2 linked regions of the Oreochromis niloticus genome follow. The protein of the gene in region 1 interacts with the protein of each later gene in a pairwise test. Links are inferred from orthologs where the notes say so. Each region holds a gene or a part of one and is shown on either strand. Other genes may lie near its edges.

Region 1 (7,478 bases):
ACTCGTGGTTTTTGGCATTGATGCGGCGGTGAGCTTTTTTCCTCATGTGATCCTTCAGCGTGGTTTTATCTCGAAACGTTTTCTCGCAGTACAGACACTGCAGACTGAAGCGAGGGGAGCGAAATGAAAAGGCGCGAGAAACAAAGCAAAACTTAATGCTGTGAATAAAAAGCAACGATTAGCATACCTGTCCAGTTTGTCCTGCAGCGTGTCGAGGAACTCGCTGCAGTAGACGATGTTGTCCGGCAGTCCGATGCTGAAGGAATGCTCTCTGGCCATGTGGTTCAGCAGAGACGACCTGGAAACAGCACGTGGAGCCGATTTTAATAAACGAAAGAAAACATCAGCTGACATCATCACTGTTAGCACTGCGCTGCAGTCCTTTGGGCTTCGTCCAGAAGTTCCCAGTTGGACAAGACGTCAAGATCCTTACGGCGTGCCCGTGGTGGCAGACAGAGGGGAGCAACATCCACCGCCATGGGCACGCGGCATGTTAAAATGTGAGGAGACCCGGAGTGGACACGGGTTATGTCTCTCGGCTGACTCCTCAGCATCCTCCCACAGAGGAGCTGGAGGGGGTGGCTGTGTAGAGGGAGGCCGAGCATCTGCGAACCAACACAGTGACTGAAAATGGATGGATAGAAGTTTAACTGGAGGTAAAGCCACAGATCCACAGACGAACTGTGGTAAACACCAGTGAGGAGCCAGTCACACCTTCATGCCATTTATGAACCAGCACACACCTGCACAGGTCTGAGACCTGACTGTTAGCAGAAGAAGAAGAAGGATGCACTGGTCTCACATCAGCTTCTTGGTTCAGGCTTAGACATGTCACTAAATTATGTTTATGGCGCTATGCATCAAAGCAGCTTTTTGGGGGTTAGATCACAAGAGGACGACTACAGGAAGCAAAGAAGCTTTTAGTCACATGATTTCAGGAAGCTCTTCCTTCTGTCTGCTCTAACACACGTGAGGTTTCCAGGACTGATGGGAATCCTGCTGGGCTTTACCTGTTTCCTGTGAACTCTTCACTGCAGAACATGCAGAGACGATGGAAGCTGCAGTCATCTCGCTCCTTCTGCTGCTGCTCCAGGACCTCCTCCTGTGGGAGCACAGAAGAAGAGCTCAGAGGAATTCTTCTCAAACTACCTCAGAGTGCTCAGATATTTAAAGTTCAGAGGTTACAAGGACACAAAACGTGTAAAATCATCATTAAATCTGCAAGAAAAAAAATCCATTCAAAGATTTTCAGACTTTGCCTCAAAATAAAGTTTAAAGGAAACTAAACTTCCAGCAAGATTCACTCTGGATGCTCTGAGTGTCACGTCTCCTCACCAGTCGTTTCTGCTGGAGCTTCTCACGGAGGACTCGGTCTTCTGGAAGGACGTCACACAGCAGGAAGTAGTCCTCCTGCTTCTCTGTCAGGTCAGCGAGGAAGAAGAGTTTTTAATGAGTCATTAATCAGAGCTGGAGGAGGTGTCTTTGATTCACTTTGAAAGGTCAGGTCCTCTGTGGCTTTGAGTGAACTCACCGACTGGGCCCGTGGAGTTGGTTTTAATGACGCTGCAGAAATCTGTGACCGGCTGCTCGAGGAATCTGCCCTTCCAGTACAGCAAGTACCTGATGGAGGAAACATGTGAGTAAAAACCACCAACCGACTCATAGCCAGGCTTACCGGCGCACAGAAACACTTCGCCACGATTCATAAAAGCAGCACACTAACCGGCGTGGACATGTTGGACTTGTTGTATATGCACTTGTAAGGGTTTCCCCCCATCACCCCAAATAATTAAAGTAGGTCTTTGGTGAAATGATCGAGTTCTAAATGCTGAAAACATCCAAACGTGTTCCAGAGAGTTAAACCGAGTGAGCCAGAGCGTGCGTGGTTCGTACTTTCGGAGGTCTGCGATGAGTTTGACATCAGCGATGACAAGCTTGTGCTCCATCAACAGGTGTCTGAGGAGGACGTCTTTCTGCGGCAGTGGGATGGACTCTGAGCAGAACAGGCAGACCAGCGGCTCGGAGCCGGGACATTGAACACCGGGAGCGCTGGAGGTGTCAGCCGGCTGATCGGGGAAACTCAGCGGCTCCAGAATGCTGTCCTTACCTGAGAAAGCAGAGAGACTACAGCTTATTTACCACACACACACACACACACACACACACACACACACACACACACTACTCCAGACCAGGTGAGTCATGACCAAGTGAAAGCGAGAATGTACAGCTTGGCATAAAGGAGCATTTCCCTCTGATCGACAAAATTCTGCCTGTACACAATTATTTTTATCACTCCTGGGGAATAAATATGATCTTAAAAAAAAAAAAAAAAAGTCAGCTCGCAAATTAATTAAATGGCCTGTATTTGTATAGCGCTTTACTAGTCCCTAAGGACCCCAAAGCGCTTTACACATTCAGTCATCCACCCATTCATTCACACACTGGTGATGGAGCCCTGGGGCGCACTGACCACCACCAGTAGGCAACGGGTGAAGTGTCTTGCCCAAGGACACAACGACCGAGACTGTCCGAGCCGGGGCTCGAACCGGCAACCTTCCGATTACAAGACGAACTGCCAACTCTTGAGCCACGATCGCTCATTAACTCATTAATCGAGCTCATACTTTCCACGCTGTTAAATCCCGAACAAACTTCACAGCTGTCAGACTGAGTGTACTGACTGAATATTCATTGATTGCTGTATAATCAGAGTTAGCAGCCCAGCTATTTCCTAGCCTGCTAGCTTAGCCGGGCGATTTCCCGCCAGCTTTTCTGATTTTTTGAGCCTTTTTTCTGCTGATTGTGAATTCCCACAGACTCGGAGAATCACCGACACCCAAACCTTCCCACGCTCACCTCAGGACGTCAGCATTAAAGCCGCGGACACGTTTAAAAATCCACACTTACCGTCTTTACTCGGCTCGCTGGCAGCCATGTCTGATGTCACGTGGTGCAAATAACACAAATCGGACCAATCGGAGGCTATAAAATGCCAACGAAGCGCCTTCGCGGAGCCCGGTAAAACACGAATGAGAAAAGGTGCATTCAAGTGGTTCAAGGAAATACAAAAACTTAAGTTTCGAAAGCTGAAGGTTAATTAATGTGAACGAAGTTGACAGTTGGACGTTGTTGCATATATTAAGCAAAGAATATAAATCACACGAACACTCAGATCCTCAAGATATACCTGAGAGTGAAAGTTCTCTGAACATGAAAGTTTAGTGTTCATAAATCTCCATTTATTAACATTACATTAGCATATGTTTCCTCCCCTCTATTACAAATTGTTAAAGGAAACGTTATTTGTGAATGTGTACCGTGTGTACAGGTGAAAGGTTCCCTAAGATAAACGTCTGAAAATAACATTTGAGTTGCTGTAAAGGGGAGCACAGGGATAGAAGGCTGGATATGGTGCAAATTCTTAAATAAATGACCCAAGTTTTATATGTGAAGTCAGTTTTAAGGTGGAGTGGCTGATGACACAGCTCATCATCCAGCTTGGATTCAGGAATTCACTGGAAGCACGTTGTGGGCGAAGACCACTGGGGGGCACAAACAGCTCAGTGTTCATCCTGCAGTCTGACTCACTCTCAGGTTTGGTGCTGTATTCTCACTTTAAAAAAAAAACTATAGATAAAAGCAATGACAGCCATACTATATAAATAAAAAACCTTTGTTCCTTTAGGCACAGAATACAAATATGAAAACACACTGGCAGCTGTTTTTTAAATATTGCAAATACATACATGATGTGATGTCATGCCATGATAATAACCTCATATATGACACGTTATTATGACTCTGTAATCACCGAAAAGTGCTCAGAGTCAATCGTCGTGACTGCAGTTTTTTAGTCAAGCATGAAAAACACAGTGTTTCACAAACACTTTGAACCAGTATATACACAAATATTTTTAGCTTTAAAACTTCATGTTCACTGTCATTCACTTCCTGTCAGTGGTCTTATGTTGGCGCATACACTGCCAGACACTCCTCCTCCATGCTTCATGGTGGGAACCATGCATGTAGAGACCATCGTTCACCTTTGTGGAACCAAAGATCTCAAATTTGGACTCATCAGACCAAAGCACAGATGGTCTAATGTCCACTCCTTGTGTTTCTTGGCCCAAACTAATCTCTTCTGCTTGTTGCTTTTCCTTAGTCTCCTCTGAACAGCTGATGTAGAGATGTGTCTGCTGGAACTCTGTGTGCCATTTATCTGAGCTCTAATCTTCACTTTTCAATCAATCAATCAATCAATCAATCAATCAATCAATCAATCAATCAATCAATCAATCAATCAATCAATCAATCAATTTTATTTATACAGCAACAGTTGCCTCCAGCTCCTTTATATTTTAAAGTAAGAACCTTATGATAATAAAGAGAAAACAGAGAAACTCCAACAATCAGATGTGAGCAAGCGCTTTGGTGACAGTGGAAAGGAGAAACTCTCTTTTAACAGGAAGAAACCTCCAGCAGAACCAGGCTCAGGGAGGGGCGAGCAGGCCCCAGGTAAATAGGTTTACCTAACAAAGTGAGTGCTTAGGATCTGGGTTCATCAACCAGTTTGTAACTGCACAAAGCCAGAATAAGTATGATTTAGTCTGATGCTTGCAGTGTTAATGCAAACAAAATGAAAGGAAACAATAATCAAAGCAATCTGGATTAATCTCCCTCTTACAGCAGTGTGACTAACGCAGATGTAGTGTTGGACAGGTGTGACACAGATGTTTCTGATGCCCCTCGTGGTTCTGTCAGGACATCATTAGAGTGACATGAAAACCTTCAGATATTCTGACGCTACTCTTTCAAACCCTTTCACTCTCTCTCTCCCTCTGGAGGTGGTGCTCTCTCGGCCTCCCTGCGGCTCCTCGTTCTGCTCGAGCAGGCCGCTCAGGTGCGTTCAGGCGCTGCATTATTCACGCCGAGCCCGGGGGCTCTAATTAAACCCTGGAGAGAAGCGAGGGGAGGCAGCCTCGGTCAGCCTGGATATGATGAGGATTTCTGATTTAGACTTCAACACGAGCCGCATCAATCTTCTTTTTTTTCTCCCTGCAAGCCTGCACACTGTAACTCAAACAGCACAGAGTTCCTGATGCTTTGGATGAAGCAAAAGCACGTTTGGAGACCTGGACGTCCACACCGAAGCTCAGAGTGCTAAAATATCCACACAGCAGCAAACCAAGTGAGCCCGATTGCTTCTGAACTGAATCACTGCATCCCAGTGTCGGAGTTTACTGTGACAAACCTCTTCTATCTGCATACACACACATCACAACAAGCTGAATCATGTACTAAAGATGTACTGTGTTTGCAACATGCTGGCCGTCTCACATCCCTGTCTGAGTCTGTCTGAGAGGGACTGGAAGCTCTGGGGGGGGGACTCCCACGAGACGATCTGTGAAATCACCTTCAGATTAAGTGTTCAATTGCACGTTTATCGTTCAACACAAGGAAGTGCTCACAATGAGTCACTAAAAGCAACAAATAATTCAACCCAATCACCGAGCAACCACCGGTGTGTGTCTTGTTGTCAGGAGATTGCCGTCTTATTTAAAGTTTAGCGTGACTGAACCATAATGCAGCTGGAGTGTTGGGACTGCCTGAGAATATCTGTAAAAAAAATCAAACATTTATCAAATACAGTATTTACAAGCTGCAGTTCCTCCAACGTCCACCAGAGGCTCCAGCGGTGAGGCAGTCCCCACAGACTCCCATGTTAAAATGTCCACCTGTAATGGATCATTTCGTCCCTCATAGCAACTGTAGCAAGGACAATGTTTTTATAAGTCGCCCGTTTGAATTGTATTAAGGCTTAAATTTTGCATTACTAGGGGCGTGGCCTCTTTGAATGACAGGTGGATAGTGACGCAGGTGACAGCTGTCTGCTCGCCTTCACCTGACCTGGACCTCTGGACCGTGTTTGTGCTGCTGGAGTCTGCTGGAGCATTTTTAATGACATCATCTGATCAATAATAAGACTGCTGTGAAGTTACTGTACCAACAGAACGTCAAAGAAGTCCGAGCTTCAGTTTTACTGAGTGAAATTTGACGATTTCTACTGAGCAGAATTGGAAATTGTGAATGCAGAGTTGCCATGTAGAAAAACTCCAGACTGCTAAAACAATTCTCCTGTGACGATGTTGGATTCAACAAAGACGATCACAATCAGTGCAGCAGAACAGGAAGTACTTTCTTTATTCCAGTGAAAACCTCATGCCTACATTACCCATGATGCAACTCCAGTTTGTTCTGTGATAAACAGACAGAGGTTTAAATGAACACGGTGATTTTTAAAGAATGTAACCGTAAAACACTCGTGTTTAATTGGTCAGACTGTCACAGCTGATGTGAGGACGGCTTCATGTGGACAAGAACTGATCGGTAAATATTTCCATTTACAGACTCGGCATCTTTATCCCTTCACTGTAAAGCGTAAACACTGTGCTGCCTCTCACTGTACCTGTCTTACATCAGCCTGTCGCAAGCTTCAAATTAGTGTCACTCTGTTCATCCAGGCCCCACTTTGCCTGTTTTTACACTGCCTCCATCCCGGTCTTCCAGATTTATCTGCACCGTATCTCCGTTTGCAGCTGCTCTGGCCCGATGCTCTCCATTAAGCTTCCACATAATCAAATCTACTGACAGCTCGCCTACTAGAGAGCTGCAGAAACGCTGCTTTCCTCCGGCTTTTCAAAGAACACATTCAAACCACCCCCTCCGCCTGACTGCTGCTCTCCACTCGGGTCCAACCTGGATGCTGCTGGCGATGAATTGTTGCATAGCAACCGCCTGCTCAGCACCTACACCGTTCCTCGTGTTTGGAGCTCGAGAACCTCAGAAGATGTCATGATGTGAGCTGAGTCGCCCACACGGATCAGAGTCACAACAGCCACAAGGGCTCTTCTTCCTCTGCTCATTCTCTGTCCAGCTCACACACACACAAACACACACTGCTACACACCAAACAACTGTGTGTAACATGTTTCCTGCAGTCTAAACATCTGCAGGTGACCACCTACACCTGTGACAGTGATGTCATCAGAACAAGATCTGCATGACTCCATGTCAGAACAGCTGAGGAAATCACACCAGTTGTGGGTGTGATACTTGTAGGTGTGTGTAATGTATTTGTAGTTTTTTTTTGCTGTCTGTCTTTTTGCTCCGTCTCTGTTGCTACATTTCACGTCACTTTTCTGGTCTCAGAAAACTGTTGTTTTTCTTTTGGTTACTTCCTGTTTTACTTTGTTTTTCTTGTTTTGTGTAACAGTTGTGTTTTTCTGTACTGTACTGAAGGTCTGCCTGACTGTGAGTAAATGAGTGCATGCATTGTTATGATCTTAAATTCATGTTGTTTGTCATTTTTGATCTGGATTATTATTATTATCCATCCATCTTGTTCCGCGTATCCGAGGCCGGGTCGCGAGGGCAGCAGCCTAAGCAGAGAAGCCCAGACCTCCCTCTCCCCAGCC
Region 2 (6,196 bases), on another chromosome or scaffold:
CTACAGAAAGAAGATTTAAAATAAATTCAATCTACAATGAAATGAGCAAAAAAGAAGAAGACTCGCAAACCCGTCGTACTTTAGGGAATAAGATCTCAAATTTGATGTTCACCATTATTATTGGAACAAAATAATAATGATCACATAAAGACTTGGAGGGGGAAAAAAACCCTCTGTATGTATGCAAATGAAGTTATGAAGATTTATCTGTTTCTCTACTTTGTCTACAACCCTTCAGTGAATCACAGAGACAGGCTGAATTATAAATGTGCACATTTAATGACAGTTGCTTCTGTGAATGAAACAACATATGGGCCCATGTGCTCAGACTATATACACCACACAGAGAGAAGCATTATGTAACACTTGCCAAATACAACTTTTAATTAGTGCATCTTTCAAAAAAAAAAAATAAAGAATTAGAAGGCTACAAATCTGGCCTCAAGATGAAGAATTGTTTTACACGGGAAGTCATAAATGTTTCTTTTGTTTCTAGTTCTCATCTGAATCATTTACAGTCTAGTCTCAATATGAAAAGCTCCTTAGGTCCAGTCTAGCAGATGACACAGCCACCTTTCTCCTTGAAGGGGTTCTTCTCCTCTGATATGCCTTTGACGAGGGTGTCCTCCTCCACTAGAGCCTGAATATATTCCTTGATTTCCTCACAGCATTTAGATGTCTGAAAGCAGGAGACAGAAAGCGTATTTCAGTTTTGAATAGCCTTTGTGATGTAATTAGTTTGACTAAATAAATTGAAGCTGTCTGATATTTACTTTTGGATCTAATCAAAAACGCATATTGAGCACACAAGTCACCTCAGTGTGGAGAACTTACCAACCACCTCTCGAGTTTGACTTCAAGTTTAAGCTGGTTTACTTCCATCACAGCCTTGTCCTTATCTGTCAGATCCTCCACATTTATGACTGGCATTTTCTGTCAAAAAAAGGAAACGTTTAACCTTTTTGTTAATGCTTACTTCCACATGATAAATAAATGATCTTAAAGGAAATGTTCACAATTCGTAAGACTTAGCAGAAGGGATAGGAATGCACTTACGAACGCTTACAGGGAGCAGTCCTTCACCCCCGAAATCCTGCTGAAGAATCCCTCTCCTCTCTCTCAATCTGGGTTATAAAGTAATCAGCATAAACAATTCTAATCCCCTAATCTGATTAAAACAAGGCCCCACTGAATGATCATACCAGCAGCTCAAGTACACAAAGGAAAGGGTGGGCAACTCACACAGGCGTCCATTTGAGCTCCTTTGGTGTAAAAAAACAAAACAAAACATGGTGATGTATTTTTTGTCTTTTATAGATTCAGTTTGGAACTTTTGTTCTATTTTAACTCTGAGTTTTCTTGCAGGCTCATTTGGATATGGGTTAAGGGGTGGCGCTTCATTTATCTGGTTAATTTTGATAAGACGGCTAATCTGTGTTTAGCCTCCACCTGTCAAGGTGGAGACATGTCGTTCTTCTAAACGTGAATGCACGGCAGTTTTCCAGTTAACATCTTTCATAAAGGTAAAACCAAAGCAGTGGGATGGAATGAAACCAATACAAATGTTAATGTGAGTTTTAACTTAACTTGCAGATAAGGCTGATTTTTCATGGTAGGATGTCGTAGAAAGAAGCACTTTTATCATGAAAGAAGAACGTTAGTGGTGGCAATCATTAAACAAAATAAGTGATAACATGAGCCACGGTACTATTAATGTGACTCTCAGTGAGAGTACGTGTGTGTGTGTGTGTGTGTGTGTGGATTCCGATCCGGTCAGACAAGTATTCTGGTGTGGACTTGCCTGTGTGGCTCAGACAAGAAAGATGTGTTAATGTTTCACAAGCGTGTGTGTCCCTAGATACAACGCAATATTGGCTCTGTGGAAATTTGACAAGGATGCTGTGTGGGTTACTGGATCGCTGTACATTCCCATCATCATCATCATCATCACTAGAACCAGTGGCCTGTGACAGTGAAAGTATCTGACTCTCTCAAGCAGAGCAAGTTCCTCCTGATATTTAATTAAGACTTAGTCACAGGATTTAACGCTCCCCCACGTAATTCAGAATAAAAACGTTTCTTGTGACGTCATTAATCAACTGCAATAATTTAGTTTCTTTGGCGCGCTGACTCAGTACATGCCCGTCCCTCTTCCTGGCTGTGCTATAAAACAAGGTCTGAGTGGGGATGGTAGACAGAGCGGAAAAGTCTGGATCTCGACCAAAACTTTGCAAAATGAAGCTTTGCGCATTTGCTCTGTTTACAATAATTTCCTCGTTTTACGGCGTTTTGACGCTGCCACCTAAAGGTAACTCCACATCATGTGTTTTTTTGTTTAATTTCTTCTTCGCGCTTCTTCAATGTTTTAACCAACTTTTTAAAAGCAGTTCTGAGCTTGTTGGTTATCACATGACCTCGGGCGTAATACAGATCCAGTTTGTCGTGTGTTGTTAAGCATTGCATAAACTTTCTTTTCCGTGTCCTTACAACGGTCCTCCGGTATTTCAATAACAATCTGCTTGGTGCTTTTCAGGCGTGTGCCTTCTTCAAGTGGATGAGGGACCTTGCAGAGGCAACATCCAGCGGTATTACTACAACACTATCACCCAGACGTGCGAGGATTTCGACTATGGAGGCTGCCAAGGGAATGCCAATAACTTCAAGAGTTATCAGGAGTGCCACAAGACATGCTACAAAATTCCCAGTAAGTAGCCTGACCCGTGAATTATTAGAGGTGGGAATCAGACAACACGTGATATGATATTATCACAATACTTCCCTCAAGATGTGATATTATTGCGATTTTTAAGATATTGTCATATGCTGAGTATTGCATTACCATGTATTGCTGTTTACTCACATTTCCAGCTGCGATCTATGTCCTCAAAATGAAACTTTGTCAAAATCAGTTTTGGCCAATAAGATAAAGTTATCTCACCTCACTTATTTTTTTTTACTACTAATATTACTACTGTAATATATCAGTTTGTCATTGAATGAGGTCAAATTATATCCCCCACTACAGTGGGGGAAATAATGTTAGTAAAGTATGTTAAGTTTACTTAGAAACAAATGAACAGCCTCTATTTTTATAGTAGTTTCATTTTAATGGAGAGTGAGACAGAATATCAATCAAACTCCAGAAATAACACATTACACAAAAGGTATAAACTGATTTGCATGTCACTGAGTGAAATAAACATTTAATCCCCTACAAACCAGCCAAAATGTGTGCTGGATGGGTTTCCAGTTGAGTTGATTTAATGCAAGTTTGTAAAGTTAAAGTCAACTAACATTATCTCAGAATGGGGATGAAGTGAGCCTACTTGTTCAGATTATTTGAATTCATTTAATTATATATATGTATACTCAATATTCCTGTATCGATACAATATCGTCATGCAAAATATCGCGATACCATGCTGTATCGTTCCCCCCCGACCCCTATGAATTACCATGAATCATTAGGGATGAAATTCTGGGCCAGTACCCATGTTTTAAGTAAGAATTGAGCTGATCTTTAATCTTGCTACTTAGCCTTCTCGTCCAGGGGAAAAAAATATTGTCATTAAACATAAATAATAATAATTTATGTGTTTCTAAAGTTTTTCAACTCTTCTTTACACCATCTTTGAACATTTAGCCAGCCCACAACACATAAATATTGGGCATTGACACAGATACATTACATTTTCTTTCAGTTTCAGCTGATATTCGGTAGATATATCAGTGATGGTGACTTAACCATCTCTATTTTATTTCATTTTTAGGAAACTAGTCAGTGCCTCTCTGGTTGTTAACCTGTTCATATGAATTAATTAGTGTTGTTTCACCAGATATCACTGTTAAATGTTGATTTTTTTTTTCAATTCTTCTCCACAGAGGTTCCCCCAATCTGCAGATTTCCTAAAGAAGAGGGACCCTGCCGGGCTCTCGTCTCCCGCTACTTCTTCAACATGACCACCATGCAGTGTGAGCCATTTAATTATGGTGGCTGCCAGGGGAATTCCAACCGCTTCCTTAATCTAGCCTCTTGCATGGAGTACTGCAGTCCAAAGAAAGGTGAGCAGATTACCCCCTGAGTCATCCCTGTGAGGATACACAGTAGACAAAGTCATTGCATTCACAAGGAAATGATTAAACAATAACTGGTGAGCTCTTCCTTGTGTTGTGTCACTTACAGCCGCTCCCGTGCTCTGCGGGGAGCCTCTGGACAAAGGGAAGTGTTCAGCCGCCATACCTCGCTATTACTATAACACAGCCACCAAGACGTGTGAGGAGTTTGTCTACTCAGGCTGCGGTGGGACCAACAACAACTTTGTCTCGCGGCAAGCCTGCATGGACGTGTGCGCAAAAGGTGTGCAAACCTGAGCCAGGCGGGAAGGGTGCATGGGTGTATGTTTCACAGCTCATTGTGAAGTCTTTATCTGAAGATGATAATTTCAGGAGAATTTTCTCACTGCTTAATTCAATAATGGCAGCATTTGAATTGCCACTCAGACCCACTTACTGGATGGAAATAGGAGAAAATTCAGAAAGTCTGGGGGAATTGGAAAGAGACCAAATTATGCTAAGTTGATTTATTATCAGGCCTAAAAATGCTTGGTATCTGAAAAAAAAAAAAAACTACTGGCTTTGACTCAGGCTGGATGATGCTTTTCAAAGCATTCATCCACTGCTGCCAATCGCTATGCTATGATCTGGAGGAAACCAAGCAAAATCTGTTCCTAGAAAGCCAGTTTGGTTAATTGTGAGACTAAAAAGTGCACAATCGTCAGTATTATATGTTATGCTAATCAGCTGTTATGCTTTTTTTTTTTTTTTTGCTTTTTTTTTTGTTGTTGTTCCAGGATGGAAAAAGCATCCAGGCCGAGGAAAAATTCTGCGATCGAGAAAAAATAGAAAACTCGTCACATTCTTGCAGCCGTAAATGTTTGACACTTGTACTCAGGAATTCTCTCTTGGAGAAGTTCCACGTGGAAGCTAATGTGTGTTTGTTTATGCTCAAATAACGACCAGGCTGCCTATGCCCTTGTGTGACATATTTTGACCACATTTATAATGTCATTAGATCATTTTTCTGAATTTTTTATTGACTGTATGCTGTCAGTAAATATCAAGAGGATGGATTGCTGCTGCTGATGCTGTTGATTCATGCCCAACATTCCTCATTATGTATTTTAATACCGTATGATTGTAATGTATTCTTTTCTTTTGTTCTGTTACAATTTTTTACATGAAATATCCTGAATTTGTTCAAGAATTTTGCCTTTTCTGTATTTTGATAACACTGTGTTAAGCAAATTACTGTGCTTTGCGGTATTTTCATAAAAGTAAAAACTAAAATTATGTGGATTTCGTCTTCTTTAACCATTACCATTCACATAAACTCACAGAGTGTCTAATTTTACCCTAAAAACTTGGCTGGTTTCTTCACTTTCCCTCAGTCACTTGCACTTTATCTCCAGGCTGCTCTTCCGTTCCTTACTAATGCTGCTGTCTTCCCTCCTTATCTGGTAATACTTTTCAAGGCGCTCGAGCCTATCTCATTCGTTTCAGCGTAGCCTTGAATCGGGAAGGAAGCAATCATGGGGCAGGGAAACACTGCTGTGGCAGGTTCATTAGAACAGCACTGCATATTTAAAGGAGAGCAAGCTGCAGGTTTACAACACGTGAGTCATGAGCTTTCAGAAATATTGTCTGCAAATGTTTTAGCAATTATAATGTAATTATAGTGGAATACACACAATAACACGCCCATAGCAGAAAGCATCCATGCAGGAAAATGAATGCACATGTATATTTTCCTCCCAACCTCGGTTATTAAAAAAGAGTTTTAACAATTGCGTTTTGGTCAGTAGTTTTTCAGATAATATACTCTCTTTATCGCAAAGATAAATCACAACGGTCTATAATGTCATTAAGTAAAGCAGGCTGTTAGTATGAACACCCTGACTGCCTTAAGTCCGTGCTCTGCTCCATCTCTTGTAATACAATAAGAAAGTGCCGTGTGATTCTTCAGACAATAAATATTTATTGAAGATATAAATGGAAACTACTCATCCATCTGGCTCAAATATAAATAGTAATAAAAGGGAATGCATCTGGCTAGGGATATTGCTTTAAGTACCAAAGCTAAATCATCTATTAAAAGTATGCAAGGGAGCAGTCATCCTAACAGTATGCAGCCTTTAAA

Evidence for each region. The genes of interacting proteins can lie anywhere in the genome.
Region 2: the proteins of znf277 (region 1) and gngt1 interact in a two-hybrid assay, tested with the Homo sapiens proteins (3 studies listed by BioGRID and IntAct). The two-hybrid records come from large-scale screens. The link is inferred for Oreochromis niloticus from reciprocal best matches to the Homo sapiens genes ZNF277 and GNGT1.

The regions. Positions count from the first base shown.
Region 1 is NC_031972.2:1,103,137-1,110,614, forward strand, and holds the start of znf277 (zinc finger protein 277), read right to left. Parts: upstream 3,008-7,478; 5' UTR 2,939-3,007; coding exon 2,911-2,938; intron 2,108-2,910; coding exon 1,894-2,107; intron 1,621-1,893; coding exon 1,532-1,620; intron 1,419-1,531; coding exon 1,336-1,418; intron 1,103-1,335; coding exon 1,011-1,102; intron 299-1,010; coding exon 188-298; intron 105-187; coding exon 1-104. UniProt on the Homo sapiens protein: Probable transcription factor. Involved in modulation of cellular senescence; represses transcription of the tumor suppressor gene INK4A/ARF, perhaps acting via the Polycomb group (PcG) complex PRC1.
Region 2 is NC_031985.2:24,331,387-24,337,582, reverse strand, and holds gngt1 (guanine nucleotide-binding protein G(T) subunit gamma-T1), read right to left. Parts: upstream 1,216-6,196; 5' UTR 1,057-1,215; intron 934-1,056; 5' UTR 931-933; coding exon 835-930; intron 680-834; coding exon 554-679; 3' UTR 520-553; downstream 1-519. Other genes in the region: tfpi2 (tissue factor pathway inhibitor 2), read left to right, coding at 2,188-2,308, 2,534-2,704, 3,883-4,062, 4,184-4,357, 4,851-4,930. UniProt on the Homo sapiens protein: Guanine nucleotide-binding proteins (G proteins) are involved as a modulator or transducer in various transmembrane signaling systems.